Mytilus edulis: one gene and its partner. The protein of the gene in region 2 purifies or fractionates together with the protein of the main gene of each other region. This does not show direct contact. Links are inferred from orthologs where the notes say so. Each region holds a gene or a part of one and is shown on either strand. Other genes may lie near its edges.

Region 1 (12,840 bases), on a different chromosome or scaffold from region 2:
AGTTCTTCCAACTTGTTGATCTGCTGGGCTGTAATCTGACGACTTCTCATCTGTTCCTGGTCTGATGGTACTTTAACCAACCATGACAGGAACTGACGATCCTGTATCAATGGCTGCCACTGGTTTGGATCCCTGTAAAAGAAATGGAATATAAGAATTTTTATAGCCTGCTATGTATCATAAAAATCACCTGAAGACAATTCTGCCATTTTGCCCTCTGACAATTCTGGTGTAATGTTGAAAAGTCTTATTTTATTTTTTGTCAGAAATCAGGTCTAAACAAGAATGTGTCCCCAGTACATGAATGCCCCATCCGCACTATCATTTTCTATGTTTAATGGACCATGAAAATGAGGAAAAACTCTAATTTGGCATTAAAATTAGAAAGATCATATCATACAGAACATGTGTACTAAGTTTCAAGTTGATTGGACTTCAACTCCATCAAAAACTACCTCGACCAAAAACGTTAACCTGAAGCTGAACGAACGGACGCACAGACCAGAAAACATAATATATAAAAAAGAAGATGTGGTTTGATTGCCAATGAGACAACTGTCCACAAGAGACCAAAATGACACAACATTAACAACTTTAGGTCACCGTATGGCCTTCAACAATGAGCAAAGCCCATACCGCATAGTCAGCTATAAAAGGCCCCGATATGACAATGTAAAACAATTCAAACGAGAAAACTAATGGCCTTATTTATATATAAAAATTAATGAAAATCAAATATGTAACACATAAACAAACGACAACCACTGAATTACAGGCTCCTGACTTGGGACAGGAATGCCCACAAATGGGGCATAAAAATTTGTGTTATTTTTTTCAAATACCAAAACCAAAGAGCAGATATGCTAGTCATTAAATAATAATTAAGGCACATGTCAAGAACTTTGTTTTAATAATCTAAAATACTACAAAAGCTAAAACTTAAAATTGCAAAGAAATGTTGCCTTCTAGTGGATGATTGAACTTTTGTTTTCACAAAGCAGACTCACTGCACTTATATCTTGATTTCCAATGATCAATACCTCATGATAGACAGCATATTAGTTTTCTAACAAACTACTACATGTATTAACTTGTACAGGAAATTAATTTTGGCAAAATCTTCACAATAAACTTGTATAAATCTTCAGACCAAAAGCATAATTTTACGAAAAAAGTAGTTGGATTCTATTGGTCTGTCGAGATAATTTTTAAAAGTCTGGGTTAGTGGGCTTGGGAGCAAGACTGATTACTTACCAGTTCATATCCTTGAGGTTGGACAGAGTAGCACAAGGTTGTCTACACAACAAGACCACAACAGAATCTGCCTTGGCTGGTATAAAACCCAACAAGAAGACGTTCCTACATCCACAGTTGTAACATTCCAGTATTGTCTCTCCCAGGGGTCCATCCTTATGCAGTGTCACTTCCTTTGCTTTGGCTCTCACTAAATGGTTGATAATGTGGCTACAATTATAGGTAGTATCATTTAACACATTATTATTGGCTAGTTTTTAACAATCAAGCATACAATTTATCGCAAAATTCAAAGAATTAAACTACTAGAATTAAGTTTGTTTACCCATCTGAAACTAACAGCTCTGAAAATTTTACTAAGCAAAGCATGAATTGCTTTACAATTCCATTAGCTATATAAGATGTTGGATATAATTTATTTATTTTTTAATTTCAGTGAAATACAGCCACTGGTTTAGAAGATGGGTATATCATATCAAGTGCTGATGAGCAAATAAAAGAATGAACAGACAAATTCCCGACCAAACAAATGGAGGATCACTATATACCCCTGCTTGAGAAAATAAAAGTGGAAAATATTATCTAACATTTCTTACAGATTTTTCAACTGTTTCTCTACCATTTCTATATTTCAAGAAAAATCTTGATAATACCATGACTTTTTATCTTCATAAATGACAAGAATACAAACCTTCCAGAGGTGTTACCACGACCATTACAGAACCATTTCTTTGTACTGTTACAAAATACTACACAGCTTGGATCATGAATTCCACAGTAACTATAATAGAAAACCTTGTTTAAATATAATGTATACAATCAATAGAGCAGAAGTTGTAACTTGTACTTCCATTTGAAATCAGGTTGGTAAATAGTCAATAATACATGTACAAAATGTAGCAGGTGCCTGCCTAACAAGTGAATTTTTATACAAAGTCTAAGGTATTTGGATTGAGGAATTAATTACATAAAATTTGTACCTTCTTCATGTTTTGTATCCTGTTTGTCGTCTTGTTTTTTTCGCCTTGGTACTGTAATTTTATTTTCAACTTACGAGTTTTAATGTCCTTTTAGTTTTTTCACCTTTCTGTTACAATTTTTTTTTATCTCTGAAGATTATTTAGAAAAAATTGCCATGGAAGATTATCATCATATTTTTGAAATGAAACTGCACTGTTTCTTCTTTACTTAAGCTGTCGCCCATTTCCAACTAATACATTTATAGATCATGATTATTCTTTATAAGCCATATACTTCAAATGTTTATAGCTTTTAATAGTTATCATTAAGAGAACTTACGAGCATGCATGTTTGGGGAGATCTTTCATACAAAACTGTTCTTCTTCATCTTCCTCAAAGTTCAGCTCCCCAACTCCCTGTGCAACATTATTAACTTTCACCTCGATGGTACCTTTCGCATCCACGTCATTAGGGATACTGCCATCTATACCATTCACCTGATAAATATTATAAACAAAGTTACAAACACATCTCAAAAAGATAAAACTTCAATTCTCATTTATAAGAAAAACATAGGTCTCAGTCTATCCAACATGTCAAGTTACAATCCTCAGCATTGAAGAAAGGTACATTGTACAAAATATTAGAAAATCTTTGTGGCCTAAAATTGCATGTTTAGCAAGGGTCCTATATTTGTAGTTCATGAATTTCTTAACCTTTCAAAAACAAGAATGTGTCGAATTCTAGTCAAATCGGCACCTGGTCAAATCGGCACCCAGTATAGTTAAATGGGCACTTAGTCAATTTGGCACCTGGTTAAATCAGCACCTGATGTAGTAATTTGGGCACCCATATTAAATATGTCTTATATATTTTATATCAATTAATATATATTTTTCGGCAGTATTCTAAGCAAATCGATTAAAATAAAGAAGGGGTTGTCCCAAAATATTGACCAATTTACATTTTCGGGGGGGGGGGGGGGGGTTTGTATGCATTATTTTTCGTTCAAATTAATGTGAGTGTATTAAAGGTGTAAGATATTTTTTATGCATGTTTCAACCAGATGAGCATTCTGCATGATTGTTGGTTTAATGCTGTTTAAACTTTCCTGCAAAACGACCTTAGAATTACATATAATTAGTGATACTAATGAAAAGGACTCATAGTTTTCCCTCTTACTACTTCTAACTTTCTCATGATTAAACAACATCTTGCGAAAAGGCTTCATTGTTTTTTATTTAGTTTTTCAATGAAGAAAAAAAAAAACATCAATAACTACTTCTATAGAGATACAATGTACACTGATGTACAGCTCTTTTAATAATGCTAGTAAGACATGGGTTTGGTTGACTTTTTAATCAACAAAGATTTGTATAGGTACTAGTGAATTCTTAAAATTAATTAATTGAAAAGAAAACTTATCAAAACAACAGTCTGAGTCATAGAATTTTGAGTCATTAATGTTAAAAAAAAACTAAAAATAATCAGAAATAGAAAGATCATTTATTCATTTTTTTAATAGTTTATATATATTTATATCAAATATAATTGGATGCCCAATTGACTTCAAATAGGTGCCAATTTGACTAGATGCCGATTTAACCAGGTACCAATTTGACTTTTTCTGTGGGTGCTGAATTAACCGGATGCCAATTTGACTTGTACCCCAATATCACACGGATGCCCTACTAGCACTATCATTTTCTTTGAACAGTGGACCGTGAAATTGGGTTCAAATGTCTTTATTTGGCATTGAAATTAGAAGATCATATCATAGCCTAGGGAACATGTGTACTACTTACTTTCAAGTTGATTGAGACATGGTTCTATTAAATATTTATCAAATTTTATTTTGCTTTAATTCATTGACATGTGTTAGATAAATTCTGATCAATACGATAGAATTAAATATGATGACATGACTTACGCTGATTACGCAGAGAAGATCGAAACCTGTTTTCTTCAACACATGTACTTTTTGAGCATCAGAAACTTCAAACAGGGACCCATTGCAACTACTTGAGGTGTCACTCTATTGTATTTTAAGAACAAAAGGACATTTCCACTTATAAATATAACAAAACTACAAATGTAGATTTACACAACGACAATGTAATAGATAACACGATAGTGACTTAAGGTTTTCACATTCAATCATGTCAAAAGGGGTTTCCTTTGCATGTTTGCATGAATTGGGTGTTTGAACGCTGCAATGGGCACTTGTATTGGGTTTTCAATTGTTTTCTTTATATTGCATGATCAGGCATATACGCAGCTTATCTAGAGCTCTGCTGGTACTAGTAGTAGTAGGTGTTAGTTGAGACAGCTCAAATTGGAAGGATGTTTTTGGTTTTGAAAGGGCTGGATAAAATGAATGTAATTTGACGGAATGTAAATACTATAAATATTTGATTTATTGTATACACTTAAATGTATGATTGCCATGAATGAAACTCGTTGAAACTGAAAGTCAATCAAGTTTGCACACGTGTTGCATACTTTCGTTCCATGACAAGTTAAACTGATAAGAAAACTGACATGCTTATTTACCTGGCTTTGATTGGAGTCAAGCTGTGATGCTTGAGTTTGAGATTGTGTCTGAGACGGGAGCGTAAAATCAGTGAAATCAAAATCCGTTCCTTGCGTGTCGGCCCCAAGGAGATCCTCCTCTGTTTCAAGGAATGTCAACGTTTGGGAATTCGGGGCGTAAGCGTCAACACTCATATTGGCATCGCTTGATTACAAACGGTTCTTTGTTATATCTGTTTAACGTGTTGACTCTTAATTCATGTCAATAACGGGAAATAATTGGTCGGAATGCGTTTCCTCCTAACTCATGCCATTTGTGTCCAAGGCCGTTGACGTCACTACCACAACAAATTATGATGACGTTCCGGTATGAATAAAAGACAGAAATAAATTGTAGAAACACAGGACTGAGCCTGTAAAGTGCCTCTAAATTATATCGAAATATAATACATAAATACATCTACCGATATGCATTCAAATGGTGCAAAACATATGGCTTCAGTGTTGTACAAGATAAAATATGTTTTTTTTTTTATCATGACTCATGATAGATGCATATGTACTTTGGTCTTTCGTGATGTTATATATATATGAATACTATGATTTAATGGATATTCTTTTTTTATACAGCAGAATGCATTGAGTATGTAGGTTAAGGTAGAGTATTTGGTTAGCTTGCTTATTAGCAGAAATCAGTCTTAATTACCACTGACTTGAAAAAATAGGGTAGTCGACCCTATTTTTTCAAGATCCTCAGTCAAGTTAGATTATGATCAAGCAAATATACAATTAACCAACAGTTTCAGTCTGCTTTTTCTGGGAGAACAAGCATTTCAAACCAGGAATTCCAAGATAGATGTGGATCTTCAAACAAAAATTATCCATCTATGCCAGAAGTTAACATCACTGGCAGATATGTCATGCATGGAATACTGAAAATACTAATAAAGTCTAAATCGATCACACACGGCAGCTGCTTTTAAAAGCTCTTCAAAGCTTGTATTTTTACTTGAATTGCATATACCGACTCTTACTGAAGTTTTATGTGTTATATCTTATGGACCACTGAGACCAACTTACATCTGCTAAGGTTCTAAACCGTAACCGTATAGCCACCGAAATAACACCAATATTCAGTATCATCTTCCAAAACTCTTATGAATATGGAGAATTACCAATAGACTGGAAAATGGCCAACGTTTGTCCTATCTTCAAAAAAAGGTCAAAAGTACAAAGCAGAAAACTACCGTCCACGGTATCTTTAACGTGTATAGCAGGTGCAAAATCATGGAACACATACATGTAATTACCTAACCAACAACATCATGTCCCACTCAGACAAACATAATGCCCTTCATAGATGATATTACACAAAACCTAGACGAAGGAATGCAAACAGATTGCTTAATTATATATGGACTTCTCCAAGGCTATTGAAAAAGCAATCTAAAGAAAATAAAAATAACTTGTTAGAAGCACATCAGCTTTATAATTCTTTCTTCGTTGGCTTGTAATTGTGAATAAAATTGACAAAATTTACTTTCAGTCAAATGGAATCATATCATTTATTTGTTCATTTTCTGTCAAGTCTGAAGCTAATGTGAGTTTTATACTCCCTTCCCTTTTGTTTTAAGCAATCCTTTATCTCCTTAGAATCGTTTTGTGGTTTACAGTTTTGTTGAGCCTGTGACATACATTTGTATTTAAGATGCCAAAGCGCGACATAGCGATCCTATATGGCTTTTTATAAATTATCAATGCATCAATCTTCATAAATTATCATGAAACTTGGGCCAAAACTAGTACTCAAGATCAAGACAAAATATCTAAAGAAAATGTTGGATTTTTTAAAAATCCTGTAATGGAATGATAAATGGATTCACTATTTGCAGGGGGAATCCTTGACACAAAAAAACAGCATTCCACAGAACCCTTTACGATATCTATTATTGCACCTGAAAATCTCTGAAGATTAATGTTCATTTACGAAATTTGGAAATTAAAAGGTGATTTTGTTAATTGGTTAATTGCTTTCAGGGGCGTAGCTAGAAAGAAACAATGTGCAAGCAACTCCCAAATTTTTTTTGCAGAAAAATGTTTTTTTTCGGTTTTCGGTCAAAGGACGGTTAATGAGAGGCACTATATGTAGTGAGGACTTATAAAAAAAATATTATTGTAAAACTATTAATAAATCTTCTGAATAGAGTAATACATAAAGAAAACATATTTGTGATACAGAATTTACTCAAAATCGTCAAAAATCTGCTCTTCGGGTCTAGGCAGAAACAAACTTCTCTATTACTTTGTCAATATTCACACTGAAATACCGATGAATATGCAGTAACTGTATGTCGTTGTTCATTGTTGATCGTACATTTGTTTTCAACATACGTAGTACACTGATAGATCTCCATGGTAGCACTCGCAAGATGTTATAAACCAGCGTACATGTTCGGCATCGAGCGACCTCCCAATTAAATTCGTCAAAATTACATGCCAGGTCAGTTTCGTATGTCTCAGACAATGTTGAGATTTGTTCGTCTGTTATATTTCCTACAACACGATGAAGCAGATACAGCACAAAGAAGCGATTTTCTGATAATACTAGACGTACGCGACTCCACTCTCCAGTTCCCTTATCATATGGTCTATGAACGCAAAACATAATGAGACTTTCCAATACTGTTTTGGCGTGTTTGCAGGGTGATTGGCTCAGGTAGTCTGCCGACCACATCGCCTCGGCATATTTTCAATTATATCGAAGGGACCTGATAATTCCAATGCCGATTGGTACATCTCATTCCAAACTGATGAACCGTACACTGTAAAATGTGCTCCAAAACTACATGTCTTCTAAAGACTTCAGTATTACAAATTCAAATCTTGTAAAAGATACAAGTTACTGTCCGATTTTGCCATCATCTCCAATAAAACTTTTATTTTGAAACCAAATGCCGTTATTTAATGATATTTTATCAATTGAAAAAGTGACAACATACGTGTTTCCTTTAACATTCAATTGATAAATTTTTATTTTGCCATTATTTTTTTTGCATGCCGAATCGATGTGCACGCAACTTCGTGTTAGCGTATAGGGAGCTACGCGCCTGGCTTTACCCTCACAGCTCTTTTAAAACATATTTAAAAGCTACTTGTTTTGACATTATCTCTGAATCCAATAACTATTTTATTTCAAATTAACAAAATGAATAATTTAACATAACAAATAAACCATCTAGATTCTAAAGTATGTTGATACTGATGAGTTTTTAATGACAGGAATGGTATTCATTCTCGATAACTCATTAGCTTCCGGGGGCCTCGCTCCCTAGATCTAATCCACTACCAGAAATTGTTTGACATGGATCAGTTTGGGGTCTTCAGACCCCTCGCCGAGGTTCGGGCGTACACGCAAAAATGACCTAGCTACGCCACTGACTTGTAATAGGGTAATACACTTTAAGTCCCAGATCGTGAACTTGTGACTTGAAAAAACCTCCTTCAATCGAAAACCAACAATACAAACCAATAGACCATCAAAATTAGAAGTAACAGTATCATCAAATCAAATCAAAGTTTTATTATTTATTGTCGATGCATAGTAAACAAAGTAACACAAGCTCTTAAGCTTTTAAAATCGACATTATAATAAATTACACACAAGCAAATAATATGTAAACAAAACACACATATTAAGACAATCATACATACATTAAAGCAGGGTATTAAAAGCACATACATAACATAAGGAAATAAAATAGTACTGTTTTATTGAAAGCACATACATAACATAAGGAAATAAAATAGTACTGTTTATGCAGATAGAAATATAAAACCATAGCTAGCTAATTTTAGTATTAATATATAAAAAAAAGGGGGGAAGCAAAGCTATGTATCAATCACTAATGGCATGCATTACATTGGCATGAGCTGCCATTCCAGTTCTGTATTAGATTGGAAAATTGAGTTAGACAATTTTCCTGTCTTATGTGGTTTGGCAGCTCATTCCATAATTGATTTTTTTATGTAGTGATACAATTTTAACTGTATAGTGGTATTTTTATACGCATTGTAACAACGTTCATTTTACTTGTGAAATCTTGCATTTATTCGAATTTGGGTTCCCTCAATATCAGTGACGTTGTGCACAGGTACCTAAACCACGTTGAACTGTGTTTACAAAATTGACTCGGTTACTTCGAAACCTGAAGTAAGATAAGCTGATAAGAGTAGGATCATTTAACCGATTGAGTAATAGGATATACATGCAAAAGCTTATAATAACAAACATATATTCGCAAATTATTAATTCTGTAAACTGGCTGTCAAACTCAAAGAAGCAAGATTCAAGATAAAAGTTTTTATTGACCAATCATAGATCCTCAATGCTAAGGGGCATATACTCAAAATATATCAATTTCACAATGATCATGATGATTATAGCATAACATTTCTCTGTCACAACTTTTTTGACAAATGACTGTCACTACTAATGTTAGGTTTTGAAACTGCTCTAAGACTTTAGCTTCAACAACGTACAGGTGCCTGAGTCTGAGTTTAGGATGTCATTTTCATATATGTGTTTAAATATTACTATTAATACATTACAATTTAATTCCAAGTGGAAGAAAATTCTGTCATTCTGATTGAAATTAAACTTCTCAGAGCCTAAAGGAACATCTGTTAGGTGGCAGGGAAGCCTTAATTAAAATCCATAGAAATTTTTAATAATTTGTCAAAATGTAGTTTTTGTCGTGCTTTTTTCAAAAATGTAATAAAAGTATGCATCACATGAATATTTTTCACATTACAGGTCAATTTCAGGTTGTGCAAAATTGTCAGATTTTGACTATATTTGTGTATAGATTATGCATGGAAAATCCCATTTTGTGTGATAAAAAGAAAACTACATCAGGGCTTTCCATTAAAATGGAAGTAGAAGGCTGAATTAAAATTATAGGCGGCTATAACATGCGTTCGGCGAAGCCGGACGCCCACCAAGCTGTAAGCTTGGTGCCTTACGGCAGGGGGTCTTGGGGCCGCTCAAGGCCCCCAGAAGCTCTGGCATAAATAGAGAAAAATCCTGCATTCTCGCAATCTCTTGGCACCTAATTTAATCTTTCAAATGACCATTTTTTATGTATGAAATTAAAGAAAGAAAAAAAAAAACTCCAAGAAATTTCATTTTTTTTATGTCAGTTTTTTATTTTCATTACCTTATGCTTAAAATTCATTTACTTTTAAAGGAGTTTTATTTAAATAATCATCCGATATGTTAGAAATCTTGATCTATTTATTTTGCATAACTACGTGCATTTGTAAACAAATGACCCCCCCCCCCCTTTTCTCTCTAAAGACTGTTACGCGTATTTAAATCATACAATTATTTCTCAAGCATTGACAGAAAATTGATATATCCTCTGATTTTCTATTTTTTTGGGAAAATGTTCAATAAGTCGGATACATAAATCATTTGGAAATGTTATTTATTTGAGGTCGAGTCGACAATATTCTACTTTCGTTTTTGACCTTGATTCTCTGAACACCACGTGGGCTTTGAAAAATGAACTTCAAAAGATACTGTTTTCCAGATTCTGAACAATATGATCTACTAAACTTTCTTTAATTTGACTAATATTATTCCATAACATAAGATTGTCATCCTATCTGATTGTCTTCACGTTTTAAAAGCCAAAAAAAGCCAACGAGTTAATGACCATCGGAACGTCTCTATTGTTATCTTTCAATGACAACCGGAACGTCTCTCTTGTTATCTTTGAAAAGAAACGATGCATTCTGACTTTAAATAGACAACCAATCAGTGACCTGAATTCATGTGAACTATATTTAGCCCACGGTAAACATTGACTTTTCATTCTTGTTTATCGTGACCGCGACTTTGCGACAAACGTCTCTCGGCTGCCTGTAAACATTTGAAAAAGATATTTTTTTCTTTTTGAATTTATATTTTTGGCAGTGAAATAGCCGGCACTTGAAGCCACCGTAAGCGGCGGATTTCCGCCGGCTACCGGCTTCAATGGAAAGCCCTGCTACATGACAGAATTTGAAGAAAAAAATGTGAAAAGATAGCTCTGGGACTTGCTTTCAGAAAAGAAAAATGCTAGATATTGAAATAAGCATTAAATTCACAACACTTCCTTTATATAATTGCTTTATCTGATTTATCTCCCCTTATTTGGCAAGTTGGAAAAAACTGAATCAAATTGGTACATTTTTGTATTTTTTTTTTAGAAATCAAAGCCTTAAATAAGATAAAACACCTAATTTTCTATATTAACATCAAAAGTCTTACACATGAATTACATACTACCGGGTACTCTCAACATTTGACTTTTCCAGTAAATGAAATGTTGCTACATGTAGATTGATTCTTCTTAAAAATCTGCATCTTTCAAGAGATCCAACTCGTTTAAAAACACTCTGTTTTGTTGATTGAGAAAAGATGCCAAATCAAAGTTATTACTTCTGATGTAATTATTTGCACTTATTTTAATCCCGTTAAATTGAGAATATTCATGTTAACCCTTGAATCCCCAAAAATGATTTTGCTCAGTAAAATTATATCCCACTTGGACATGTTGGAGATTAAAACCCCAACTTGTCCACACTCTGTTCAACAATGTTCAGTTACACACATAGTTTAAGTGTTGGTTATTTGTCTAAAAATATAGCAGCATTTATTTAGAAATCCCTTCACTTTTTCTCAATTAAATTATGTAAATTATTTATTTTCAGATTTTATGGCATGCAGTGTTTTGGGTCAAATACAGTTTTCTCGTAAACAGTCGGTGGTTACTAGACTTCTTCAATGGATTGCTGTACTGAAATCTGAGTGGACTTGTACTGCAGATAAATATCTTGATAATAACTCACAAACAATGTATCACCAAGGTTACAATCCTCAGTTTGAGGACCAAAACTACATGTATTATGTGCAGCAGCAATTTCCAGCCTACATGCAAAACTACAACATGAACATGCCAATGCAACAAAATTTTAGACCACGCCCACGTTTTCAGGGACGTCCCCCTTTCCCTGGTGGGCGTCGCCCTGAACAGAGGCACTGGCAGCAACAGGACAATTATTCTAGTGTTCGTGACAATATAAGACAAGATATAATTAATCAACTAAATATCCAAGTAGGGGATGATGAACTGCATAACAATCCAAACTACACAGCTTTCAATGCCAATAATTCCAATAAAAAGTAAGTGTCACAATGGATTTAAATAGATCATTTGCATATTACACAAATGTACCTTTGACTCTGGATTTTGTAGTTTTTTTACAGGTTATATGTACCTTTTTTGTCAATATCTGTGGTACATGTAGGTCATTAGTACATTCTGGTACTTGGCCAAGTGAGAACAAATATTTGAAGTAAAATTAGTGCAGTTTGAAGAAATGAATATTTCTGTTTTCCCATGATTTTGTGGTTTACATGTATAGAAACCATGCTATAGTTTGAGAGTACTTTTCCAGTTTGTCAGGTATCTTCTTTCTGTTTGCAGATACTTATTTTCAAATGAAGTAAATTTCATGAAGATCTAAAAATTTTGCTTCACACATTCTTCAGACCCTACTGAGCACTACTGTTTTCTGATACATTGAACTTCTAGTAGGGGCATGGTAACCATGAGAAAGCATGCACTCTATTTTCCCACAATCATGATAATTAAGTATTGGGAGGCTTCCATTGATACCTCAAAAGCTGACTCAATACTTTAAACTTTATCATTTTAGGAGAAAATCAGATGATGATGACTCACCAAGTAAAAGTAAAAGATCTAAACAAGATTATATACTCAGGATACCACCAACTCCCAAGTCTTCATCAAACTCACAGGTAAATGTTACTCACAGTCACTTTGGATTCATAAATTGAAATGCTCAGACATGTCAGAGTAAAAACAAATGGAATACCCTAGACTTGTTTTCAGGAAAATGTCATAAAATGTGAAATTGAAATTGTACATGTTGTATGAAATACTGTAAATTCAGAAATTATTGCGATGTTTTTATTATTGCAAAAAATACGACAGGGTTATAATCGCAATAATTTAAACTCACGTT
Region 2 (12,980 bases):
ATCTGTATACATCATAGATCTGTTCTTTGAAGCCTGAAAAAGATATATACATAATAAAACTACAAACGATGTGTACAAATAAACTGTTCACAAAGAAATATGTCCATCTTAACCTTGGTGTTTTAGAATAAACTCATCAATAAAGTGTGCAATCATTGTTTTGTAAATTCATTTGATGACACTGATAAGTGATTAGAAATCAGTAATAATTATAACGGCAATCATCCTTATCACACACATCTTCAAATAGACTGTCCTTATGCAAATTAAAACATATACTCCGCCCGATCACTTGAAATAACATTGGTAATACATGTGTAGTTATGGTTAAGCCATGATCACACGAGATATGAATCAGTTTTTTTTGTTTTTTTTACTGTTGAAATTGTAAAAAATCCTCGTAATATGTTCATTGCGATTATTTAAGTGACCACAGAGAATACAGTTATGATAAGTTGGCTACTTTCTTCCATCAAGACAACAACATTCAATTCTATACATTTAGGGCTATTCCGTTGAAAGAGTTTGACATTACATGATTTTCTGTTGGTAATGGAGTGAAAGCAAATACAATTCTACCACAAATGAAAAATAAAAATCATGGGTGATGTGGTATAAAAAAAACCAAACATATTCAATTCCTATTTCTTTTTTTTTGGATTAGCCCTTGTTTTTTTATGAATGGTACCAAATAATTTCATTACGTTCTCTTAGGCCTAAAAAAAAAGATATGTGTTTCCGGTATCATCATTTTGAAAAATAGGGTCGGTAGGTCGGAATTCTTTTTTTTTTCTTTTTTTTTTTGACATCGTAAATGAAATCCGGAAAATTATCATGGTTTTTCCAAGTCCGGATCCGTAATTAGTTTCAAAAACCGGAAGTGTGCCATTTGCAATGTTTTTGAAGCACCTGCTGTGCAAATTTCTTGGATTTTAACCTATTTGGAATACCTTTTGACATTAATAAAATGTTTTACTGGCTTTCTATGCAAGTAGAAGTAAGAGAGAAAAAATATTGTCATCTATCAGAAGCCTGTGTCAAAAACGGGGTCGGTTGATACAATTTTTTTTTTTTTTTTTTGAAGATCCAATAAAAAAGTTAGGGTCGTGGCTAAAAAACAGGGTCGGTCGGGTTACCGGAAACATCGATCTTTTTTTTCTCGGCCTTATTACCTTTATTTAACATCTCATCTGCTTCATCAAGCACCAGCATCTTAATTGATCTTGTTCTCAAATTTCTTCTTTTTATCATATCTGTAACGACAAGTCAAATCTCATACAATAAAATAAAAAAATAAAAAACAGAATGAAAAGGGAAGATGTTTTCAATTACAAATAATAATATGATCAAACAAAAGTAACAAGAATATGTGTGTACATAGGACAATAATAAGTCATATCAACTTGTTCTGGGTGTGGTTCAGAAATGTATTAGAGGTAAAGCATAATAACTCATCTTATGGAGTTGTCGTTTGTTGATGTGTGGTTTATAAGTGTTTCTCATTCTTTATTTTTAATTTGGTTAATGATTAGAGTCATTAGACCGTTGGTTTTCCTGTTTTAATGGTTTTACACATCACTAGTAATTTTTTGGGGTCCTTTATAGCTTGCTGTCCGGTGTGAGCCAAGACTCCATGTTGAAGACCTTACTTTGACCTATAATGGTTTATTTTTAAAAATAGTGACTTGGATGTGAGTTGTCTCATTTGCTAGTGTTTCCTACAGGTGGTTTTGGCGTGTAATGGCGCCCAGTCGCGATTTCTCGACGCCCTGCCCTTTTTGGGAAAAAAATTTGGCGCCCTGTCCTAATTTTGTCGAAATTCCTGACGCCATGCCTTTATCAGTTTATCGTCGTAATTAACAACCGGTACTGAAAGACATATTTTATGAATACCGCTCAAGTTATTTCCCTTCAAACGTAAACAAAGTTCACTAGGACGCCATTTTGTAATCGATTTCGTAATCAGCTGATTAGCAAACTGCAATAGATTGAATAGTGAATACAGATACTAATCATGCCATCAACAAATCGGATGAAGCGAAAACATGAGGAAGAAAATGAGAAACAGGCCGCAAAATGCAGAAAGCTTTTATCATTTTTTCAAAGGTTTGTAGATTTTTATTACAAAATGGTTACGCACTTGCAACGGTGTCAGTTCGGGGGTAAAAATAAACTTCTGCCAAAGGGATAATTTAAGGTTAAAGTTGAGTTAGGCCGAGGATCTCATGAAATCACTTGCATATTAATTACTTTCAATTAATTCATTTTTTCATCAAATTATTTTTTTTAAATTTACTTCAGAAATCTTCAGTTTTTAATTTGAATTAATTTAAGAAAGGAACAATTTATGAAAAAACTTCCAGATTATTTAAGATATTCTTGTTTTATGTGTAATTTATTTATTTTCAGCACCAAATGACAGTTTCACAACGCAGAAATAGACTGAATGTGTCAACTGTAAACAATCTTGTTCTAGTGTCAGCAAATACCAAATCAATAGATGATTTGGATATCAGGGAATGTGTCAACCTGTTTTTAGGGAAAAAAAGGAGGATTTGTCAATGACAATTGATATGACCAAAGCAATATTTTTATATATATGACATACAATGTAGTTCTTTCTTGTTTTTAAACATTTTTAAAAAACTGATTTTGTTTTTAATTATGTTTATTGTTTTAAATATTTCATATATATGTTTTAAACACTTTTTCTTGTTTAACAATTTGTTTTAATGATTGATTACAGATGTAGCCTATATGTCCTTTTTATAGCATTAAACTAGTATGTTTTAAATGAATCCATTTTATAGTAATTGCCTGTTTATATTAAGTACATTGTAAGTGCCCTAAAATTGTTGTCCATCGAGCTTAATGTGCCCTCTGAGCTAACAATTACCCTGCCCTTTTTAAAAGCTGCAGGAAACACTATTTGCATTCATACCACATCTTCTTAAAACTATTGAGGTAAACCATGATAACACCTCTTATGTAGTTATGTTTTTAATTTATAGTTAAAAGTTACCAAAGACTCTGCCTGGTGTTCCTGATACCACATGTTGACCATAATCTAGTTTTCTGATGTCTTCACCAATGTTTGTCCCTCCAATACAGGAATGGCATTGTACATTCATGTAATCCCCCAAAGCTAGGATAACCTGTCATATATAAGATGAATTAAATCAGACCTAGCATCTTCCTCATGTTTACATAAACCAGTTTTAAATAAAGTTTAAAAGAAAATGACATCCCATGGCAAAAAAAAAAAAAAACGACAGTTTAAGATTCATTGCTTTACTTTTTAAAGCAAAACATTTTCTGCTGTTGAAATACTACACCCCATTGAATTTCATCAAATGTATAACCATGCCTGTTTGAATGAAGACTTATGTTTTAAATTCTTTAATGGAAAAAGAGAAGATATTATGCTACATGTATATATAGATTCAAAGTAATTATTGTATATTTTGAACTTTAAACTATTTTCCCCAACAAAAAGTAAAACTGAAATACTTTTTATTATCCATTATCTATCATGTTTATATTAGAACTTAAACTGACACTGTTACCTTTTGAATTTGTGTAGCAAGTTCTCTAGTAGGAGATAATATTAATGCTTGTGTTTCTCTGACTTGTGTGTCCAGGCATTGTAGAATGGATATGGAAAATGTTGCTGTCTTTCCTGTTCCAGACTGAGCTCTAGAAAAAATTATTTAAAGTAATAAAATGTTGAATGCATGAAAGACATCATTTCATTGACATGGCTTATCAGAAGTTCTTATACAAACCATCTCAATGTATTTTTTTCGTTCACACAAAAATTACAAGCTATGTTATCTTAATTTAATCATTTTAAACTTTAAAATTAAAAATGTGTATTCTAATTACCATACAGATTATATTGTTTATAAGATATATAAAAGAAGATCTAATTCACTTATTTATGAAATTGAAAAGTAAATTACAAAATGGATAGAAGAATTGCCCTGTAAGCACCTGGGGCCATATATAGGATGAATACCAAAACACTCAATAAGTCTGACTTACTGTGCAATAACATCTCTTCCTTTCACAATAGGTTTGACAGCTCTTTGTTGAATAGCTGATGGTTTCTCAAAACCTACAAATAATTAAACAATAAAATAAATCTATGACATGAATGTCTGTTAAGAATTTTAAAAGAGAGGCAAAGGAGACCATAGGGACATTCATACTTATAACATGCATAAGACAGCTATTTCAACAATTTGATTTTCTGGGGGGCTTATGGATTTTTTCCTGGACAACCTTTTTTTCAGCAAGAAAGATCTATTTTTCTGGCGGCAAGTTGAAAACAACTTTTTTCTTTCAATTTAGAATTACATATGGTGGCAGCTGAGGGTAAAACGAACATTTTATTTTCTCAGGGTCAAAAATAAAATAATTTTTTCTCCAAAAACTGGAAACAAACTGTATCAAAAAGAATCCATAGCCCCCCCTGAAAATCAAATGGTTTCTGCCTAAATAGGAACTAAAATGACAATGACATGGCTAAAAAAGAAAAAGACAAACAACATGAACAACAGTACACAAAACACAACATACATCATGTAGAAAACTACTTAAAAGAAAGGGCAACCAAAACTGTGGGCAACAAAGTATAAGCAGAATCTACCTATCAATAAAGTAAAGCCTGTCTAATAACTAATATGTAAACGATATAAACAGTGTGATGGTATATTTTCCGTTGCTGATAACTAAAGAAGAAGAAAAACCAACTACCAACACGAGTGAACAAATACAATTATAATTTTTTGTGCATTGTTCTGCATTTGTTTATTCTACATTGGCTATAGGTATAGGGGAGGGTTGAGATCTCATTACATGTTTAACCCCACCACATTTTTGTGTCTGTACCAATTCAGGAGCTTCTGGCCTTTTTTAGTCTTGTATGATTTTTAATTTTAGTTTCTTTTGTATAATTTGGAGTTTAGTATGACGTCCATTATCACTGAACTAGTATACATATTTGTTTAGGGGCCAACTAAGGACACCTCTGGGTGCTAGAGTTTTTCGCTGCATTGAAGGCCCATTGGTGGCCTTCGCCTGGTGTCTGCTCTATGCCATGGTCGAGTTGTTGTCCCCATAATTTTTTCCATTCACAATTTTATTCGTATATTCTCTCATAAATTAATGTATGTACCGTAAGCATATATTCCTCGTAGAAGTTCTTCTCTAAGACCCATGTTATCAAACGTTGGTGTAACATCAACCTCTTCGCTGGTTTCAAATTCAACATTTTTGAGATCTTCGGTCATCACGCGTCTTCCAGCCATTTTGCAAATTTGTTGATCCGTGTCAATCACTTTCTTGTCATTAACTATTTTGTCTCATTGATTTTAAGCGCACTATAGATTACGACTTTTAACCAAACAATCAAAGCACTAAAGCATAGGAAGTATTATAAATATTAGCTACCAGTACATTGTTAAATTATGATTACAAGTAAACTATGAACGTATGTTTATTTATCATAATATTTTCAAAATCTTCCTGCATCACACATCTGCATCCCTTCGTGTTTTATCAATAGGGGTCCTTTATTTCTGTAAATTTTTATGCTATTTTTCTCTATTCTTTATACTTTTTGCCCATTAATCTCTCTTCTTTTCATTTAAGGGGGCTCGCGGGTCTAAATGAATTTTTTTATTTAATATAGGATTTCTCTATATTTTTCTATAAGTTAACTTTATCTTATACTTAATAGAAAAATGAAATAAAAAAATGGGGTCACCGTTCATTTACGCTCACAATCTGCCTTCGAAAGAAGCATACATTTTTGTTAATGTCCTTTTTTTCTGTTGAACTAATAGGAGAAATAGCGGTTATATCGAAATAAAAAAAGAACTAAATTACAGAAATCGATAAAATTTTACAATTATTTAGTTTATGTACAGCTTATTCGAAAACAACAATAAAAAATATAGGTCACCGTTGAGTTAAAAAAGATATTTCAATTTTAATGCCAAAAAATGGCATTTTTGCACCAAAGGGAGATAATTTGGAGCTTTTTCAATGATATCTACATTTTAAAAGTCCGATGGGGCCAACACGAATTGATTTTTTGGAATGATTTTTGTACCATATGATAAAGTAACAGCTACTTAAGGTAATCAATAAAATTTGTAATGAAAAATTAATGTTTAATTTTTTCTGAAAATCTTATACCCGCGAGCCTCCTTAAGCACCTCATTATTCTTTACTCTATTTTTTTGGTGTCAGTTTATCCGGTTTTCGTCGCATTTCATTTTGCCATTGTTTTGTTCGTTATATCAAGGATTTGTATAGTAAGACCTCCTTACTATTCAAATCCTTGGTTATATGAGGGTGGTAAAGGGGGGGTGCTTGCACAAAAAAAACGTGAAATAAGACATAATTTCACGTTGAACATGAAATAATTTTTGTAATGAACGTTGCACGAAAAATAAATACTTTTATTTGAACCTTTTGTGACTGAGTCACTGTCTTCTTGTATATATTAACTCTTTGTTTTACTTGATATTCCCGATTTAGTATACACATTTATGATATAATTGGTTTACGGTTTTTAAAAAAGTATTTTTTGACGATCCCTGCCAAGTGTTTGAATTTTATTTGAAAAATACCGAGCACGCACAATAAGACTTTGAAAATCACGATGCACGTAAAATTAAATAAGCAGAACACGTTGAACGAGGCACCCGTCTTGCACGACTGAACGTCAAATAAAAAAGTAAAAACACGTTGAACGTGAAATAAAAAACGGTGATCACTTTGCACGAAAATAACCCTTTACCACCCTCTTATATGAATTTTAATTGTCTTTTTGGTATCTGTTGCCTTTTTTTTCTAGGTTGTACAAAAAGAGCAAAACTGAAAAAATGGTTATCGTCCACCATATCTCCTGCCTGATTTTCGATTATAATTGTCTTGGTACATGCACAAAATATGATGGCGTAAACCAACTTTAAGGTGGTATGGGTGTTTTTCGCCATCTTGGATTGTAAAAAAACAGAGAATCTAAGGTCCAGATTTTCAATCAAGTTAGCAAAATTTGATGCAGGAATGCAGATTACTAATGTGAATTTACATTTAAAAAACAACTTTATAAGATTATAACTTATAAATATTAATATTTGTGAAAGTGTTGATTGATTTTTAATATTTTTAAATTAGCAATTTAAGGGGAGGTAACTCTGAGATATTGCATTTTCTGAAGGAATCTACATGGAATTTTGCTGTTTGTATTTTAAATGGGGAAAAACGCACGGTGACCTTATCTTTTCTTTTGATATAATCAAACCCTTTTTCTGAAACAATAGCATAACATCACAACATAGAAAATTTGTTTGCCTTATATCTTGGCTTACATCTAGAAATTGGCAACAAGGGTCATTTGAGAACAAAACTTTACGACAAAAGATATAATCACAGCTTCCCAATTGTGAACTTTCCATTCCATGTAGCAAAGTTCCGACAGCGACTGCAAATATATTATACACTCCTAGTTGATACAATATTCAAGAGCCGCCCTGTACTAATGTCTTCCTACCATGACGAGTATCAAGGTCCATCCTCGTTTTTTTTGATGGGGTTCGTGATGCTTAGTCTTTGTGTTTTGTATAATGTTTTTTTTTCATTTCGAATTCTTTGGATTCTAAAAAAAAACAGCAACAGAGACAGAAACAATGACCAGAACAATGAGATTTCTAAAAACATGTCAACTCATTTGAGCTTTTGCCTTTTTGATAGTTTTTCGTTTTTTACTCCTAAAAGGATTGACTTCCATTGAAAAATGATGTTTTCCATTGTTGCAGACTTTTTTCACAATCTATAATAGATATAAAGAGAAACGGTAAAAACATAAATGTTCAGTGAAAGATCTACAAAGCAGAACTTAGTCAGGGTCGAAAATGTCAACAAACTCTTGTTCTACATTCCCCATTTCCATTCTCAGTTTTATACTTATAAAAAAATAGTTCCCCTTTATTAACTTGCGGGTATAAATCATCTTTTTTTTAAATATAGGATTTCGCAATGTTTTCTATACATAAGCTTAATCCTATACTTAATAGAAAAAAAGAAAAAAAACCAATATGGCGTCACCGTTCATTTAAGATCACAATCTGACACCCTATGAGCTGTCTGACATAGTGATAACAGAGCAGGATGTGATTGACCATTTCCAAATTTTAAATATTAACAAACCAGCTGGACCTGACAAGCTACCTCCAAAATTTCTTAAGGCAATTTTCCCATCACTGGTTACACCTTTAACATTCATATTTAATAAAAGCTTACAATCAGGAATAGTTCCCAGTGATTGGAAACTTGCAAATGTATCAGCTATCTACAAGGGTAAAGGAGATCAGGACAATGTTTCAAACTACAGACCTATCTCTGTTACTAATTGTTTTAGCAAAATATTGGAGAAAATTATTTTTAAGTATTTACATAACTATATACATGATCATGCAATATTAACTGACCAACAGTCAGGGTTCCGAAACAAGGACTCTACTATAAATCAGTTACTTTTATTATATGATGAGATAGTAAAAAATCTTGACAAAGGGAAAGATGTCAGATTTATTTTTTGCGATGTGTCAAAGGCATTTGATCGTGTATGGCACATGGGACTTCTATATAAGTTAAGAAAATATGGAATAAAGGGTAATTTGCTTAACTGGTTCAAAAGTTATCTTTCTGATAGACAACAAAGGGTTGGAGTAAATGGTTTTTTTTCTAACTGGAATACTGTCAAGGCAGGAGTCCCTCAAGGGTCCATCTTGGGCCCTTTTCTGTTTTTATTGTTTGTGAATGACATAGTAGATGTGGTTACAAACAAAATAAAACTGTTTGCAGATGATACTTGTCTATATTGTGTTGTACATGATGAGAGATCAGCAGCTGAATCCCTGGGGCAAGATCTAGAATCATTAGATCAATGGGCAGGAGAATGGGGTGTAACCTTCAATGCAGACAAAACCAAATCTATGTACTTTACGAGAAAAAGTAATATTGATGTCACATCATTATGCATGAATGATGCACCTCTAGAAAATGTCTCAGAACATAAACATCTTGGTATAACCTTATCATCTAATGCCAAATGGTCTAGTCACATACAGGATATTTATTCAAAAGCTTGTAAACGTCTTAATATTATGAGATATTTAAAACATAAGATTGATAGACAGTCTCTGGAAAGACTTTATATTGCATTTATAAGGCCTATTTTAGAATATGGGAACATAATTTGGGATAACTGCACACAAGAAGAATCCGATCTAATTGAGTCTGTACAACAAGCTGCTGCCAGAATTGTAACTGGGCTTCGAAAGGGAACTCCTAGATGGAAATTATATAAGGAATTAGGTTGGGATTCCCTCCAGAATAGACGTCAGAAAAACAAATTATTGTTTCTTCATAAAACTATTTCTGGAGATATTCCTAGTTATATTGCTGCTGATATCTTGTCGTATACAAACACTAATGACCAGTATGGACTGAGGAAAAAAAAGGGAATTTAAAACTCCTCAGTGTCGAACCACAGCCTATAAGAACAGTTTTATTCCACATACTCTTGAAAAGTGGAATTCACTTGATGGAGAAGTTAAAAATATTTTAAGCTTTACAGGATTTAAAAGAAAACTGAATGAGGACATAAGTCCTTGTCCTGTTTTCTTTTCCACTGGTTCACGTAAAGTTAATATAATCCACTGCCAATTAAGAAATGAGGCTAGTGATCTAAAACAACACCTTTTCTGTGATCATTTGTCAGACAGCTCTATATGTGCCTGTGGAGATCCAGTAGAAGATAATTTAATATTTCTTTTATGTTTGTCCATCTTACATTTATCAGAGATATGAGCTCTTTAGAAAAATAAGTAACTTTAATAATGTCAATCTTGATGTCCTACTACAGGGTTGCTCAGACTTTAATATTGATGAAAACACAGAGATATTTACATATGTACAACAATATATTCATGAAACTGGAAGATTTTTATAATATTTCATGTGATACTATACTGTTTAGAAATCAGCTTATAACCACAGTGTACCACTCTTTAGTCTTAATTAAAGACAAACCTAACTTTTAACACAAAAAACAACCAATTGTGTTTAGCATCTTTTTGCAAATAAATTTATATATATTTTATTTTATTTTTTGTATTAGTAATTTTATTTTCAAAAATCAAGAAATTAATAGTCATGTAATAAGATGGTACACTAAATTACTTATGTATTGCAAAAAAGGGCCAATCAATTCTTGTTATTCATATAAATAGAACAACTTTGTTGCAGTGAGTTTGTGAATTTGAGTAAAAAATCACTTAATGATCTACTTGATTCCTTACCAACACTTAGGGAGCTACCATTTGATTTTTATGGGGGGGGGGGGGGGGGGGGGGGCTAGGATGAAATTTGAAAAAAATAGGCAGGACAGGAGTTTTGAGTAAAAAAAAAGGCAGGATGAGACACTTGCAAAAAAAAAAAGTCAGGACGACAATTTAGGTAAAAAAAGTCAGGATAAACTAAAAAAAAAAGGCAGGACCGAACAGAGTGAAAAATAAAAAGGCAGGATAGAGATTACAGCTAAAAAAAAATGCAGGACAAAATTTTTCATCCTAGCCCCCCCATAAAAATCAAATGGTAGCTCCCTTATTAATGTGGTATAAAATTCGACACCACCTTCAGTAGGTCTTGCTTTGACTTTGTTAACATAGTTATTTATATACATATACACAATAAAATACTTCAAGAAGTGGGGGAATTGCCTCCCCTGACTCACTGCAACAACGTATGATCTATTAACTTATCAGAAAATTATATACTATCATGCATGTTATTCAATCCATCTTGTATGGGAAAGGATTTGTATAGGCACTGCCTTTTGTCCAATCCCTTTGTTTAAATGTACATTTTATATTTGAACAATAAAATATTTTGAATTGAATTGAATTGAATCACAATCTGCCTAGCTTCGAAAGAAGCATGCATTTTTGTTAAGTTACATTTTTTTCTGTTGAACTAATAGGAGAAAAAAACAGTAATATCGAAATATAAAAAGAACTAAATTACAGAAATCGCTTTAATTTTACAATAGTTTAGCTTATGTACAGCTTATTTGAAAATAATAATAAAATATATAGAGCACAGATGAGTTAAAAAGGATATTTCAATTTTAATGCAAAAAATGGCATTTTTTCACCAAAGGCAGATAATTTTAAACTTTTTAAATGATATAAACATTTTAAAAGTCATTTGGGGTCAAAACGAATTGATTTCTTTTATTGATTTTTGTACCATAACATAAAGTAACAACTATCATTGTACAAATCTTTGACCAAAAATCACAGGCACTTGTCTCAGAATTTGTTTTCCCTATGACACATTAAGGTATAAAGGAAATAAAATTTCGGAGACAAGTGCCTGTACAAAAAATGCAAAATGTTGTAACTTGAATGTCTTGAATTGTTTTTAACTTAAAAGTTTCGCACACGGTCTGAATGGTAATTTTTGTAAACACGCATTTGATAATTATGTTTCATTTCTTCAATACTTTGCTCAAGTGCTGACGTTATAGCGTTGACTATCAAGAAGGTCCGAGTTGACTTATTGACGATTCGAGGGTGGTTTTTTTTTTTGGTAGACGGTCCGAGTGGCATTCGGGCCGAATTGTCTCGTACCCGAAAAAAATATATGCTTCGGAGTCAAAAGTCGGTCTTATTATTGTCTTCCCGTACCAAATAATCTGTTTTATGATTGACCCTGCATGTGTTGTACCTAAAATACACGTGCAATGTCTGAAGTGAAAGTTTCAAAGCGAGGAAGGAAGCGATATTTGACAGATTCAGAGAGAAAACAACGACGTGCTGCAGTGAATGCCAAACAAAATAAGAATAGGATCTACATAGGTACCCAGTATGATCGTTGGATTGAGCTTAAGAGTATTCTACGCTTGCAAACACATACTGAAGTAGCGAATATTTTGCTTGATTTGTAAGTTTCTATAAAAGACCGAATTTTATCCCTATAGTAAACAATGATTTTGAAAAACTGAACAAATTTCATAAAAAGTTAAATACATGCATATAGCACTAGCAGCTAAACATATTCAAATGTTTTGTTTTTCAAAGTGTTTTAATGCATGACAACAACCCCTTAATGCTTGATCATGTTTGAAGTGGACCCTTTTGCTAAAATGGCAATTTTTACCCAAAATTTTACTACATAATTATAGACTGATTTGTGCATCTAAAGACAAGATTTATGCATAGTATGATAATAATAATAATAATTATATTGTATTCAATGAAAATATCAAACATATTATTGCATTAAAGTTTTACAATACAAAATACACAATACATATATTTTAAGACATATACTAACACTAGTTCCAACCCCTGAACCCCCCCCCCCCCCCTTTTGGATCCGCCACTGCTCTATTTTCAGCATGTCAATCAATACAGTTTCATTTCAATTGATATTATTATCTGTGGGGAAGTTCTATAAAGTATAAACCCTCTTTCCCAACTTAGTTTATTTTGGCACCTTTTATAGCATAGGCAGATCCAGGGGGGGGGGACCTGGGGGGCCTGGGTCCCCCTTTCGTGGGAAAAAATAGGTTGTTTATAGTTTATATAGGGAATCATTGAAGCATGACTTGAGCGGGCTCCCCTTAGGTCAGTCAGCAGGCCCCCCTTAGGAAAAGTTCTGGATCTGCCACTGTATAGGAATGAAAAAAGTGCACTGCAAAATCCATTGTAAAAAAAAATGTATTTGAAATTTATTTATCTTTTAAATAGAGCATTATATGATTTTTTTTTTTTTTAAATACTTATATACGTTTGTCTGCAATCACAGTAAATTTTAAGGTGAAAATGCAGCAATTTTTAGCCAAAGGATCCACATGAATGAATCTTAAAGCAGCTTTAATGGGACAACCAGAGGCT

Evidence for each region.
Region 1: the proteins of eukaryotic initiation factor 4A-III (region 2) and regulator of nonsense transcripts 1-like purify together in Homo sapiens (co-immunoprecipitation; 8 studies listed by BioGRID and IntAct, with this or other methods). This does not show direct contact. The link is inferred for Mytilus edulis from reciprocal best matches to the Homo sapiens genes EIF4A3 and UPF1.

What each region holds. Positions count from the first base shown.
Region 1 is NC_092347.1:39,446,780-39,459,619, reverse strand, and holds the start of regulator of nonsense transcripts 1-like, read right to left. Parts: upstream 5,122-12,840; 5' UTR 4,942-5,121; coding exon 4,768-4,941; intron 2,712-4,767; coding exon 2,554-2,711; intron 2,036-2,553; coding exon 1,946-2,035; intron 1,465-1,945; coding exon 1,255-1,464; intron 133-1,254; coding exon 1-132. Other genes in the region: poly(A) RNA polymerase GLD2-like, read left to right, coding at 11,508-11,974, 12,511-12,613. UniProt on the Homo sapiens protein: RNA-dependent helicase required for nonsense-mediated decay (NMD) of aberrant mRNAs containing premature stop codons and modulates the expression level of normal mRNAs.
Region 2 is NC_092346.1:39,351,842-39,364,821, reverse strand, and holds the start of eukaryotic initiation factor 4A-III, read right to left. Parts: upstream 5,347-12,980; 5' UTR 5,313-5,346; coding exon 5,180-5,312; intron 4,118-5,179; coding exon 4,045-4,117; intron 3,697-4,044; coding exon 3,567-3,696; intron 3,156-3,566; coding exon 3,023-3,155; intron 1,254-3,022; coding exon 1,173-1,253; intron 34-1,172; coding exon 1-33. Other genes in the region: uncharacterized protein, read left to right, coding at 11,825-12,024. UniProt on the Homo sapiens protein: ATP-dependent RNA helicase. Involved in pre-mRNA splicing as component of the spliceosome. Core component of the splicing-dependent multiprotein exon junction complex (EJC) deposited at splice junctions on mRNAs.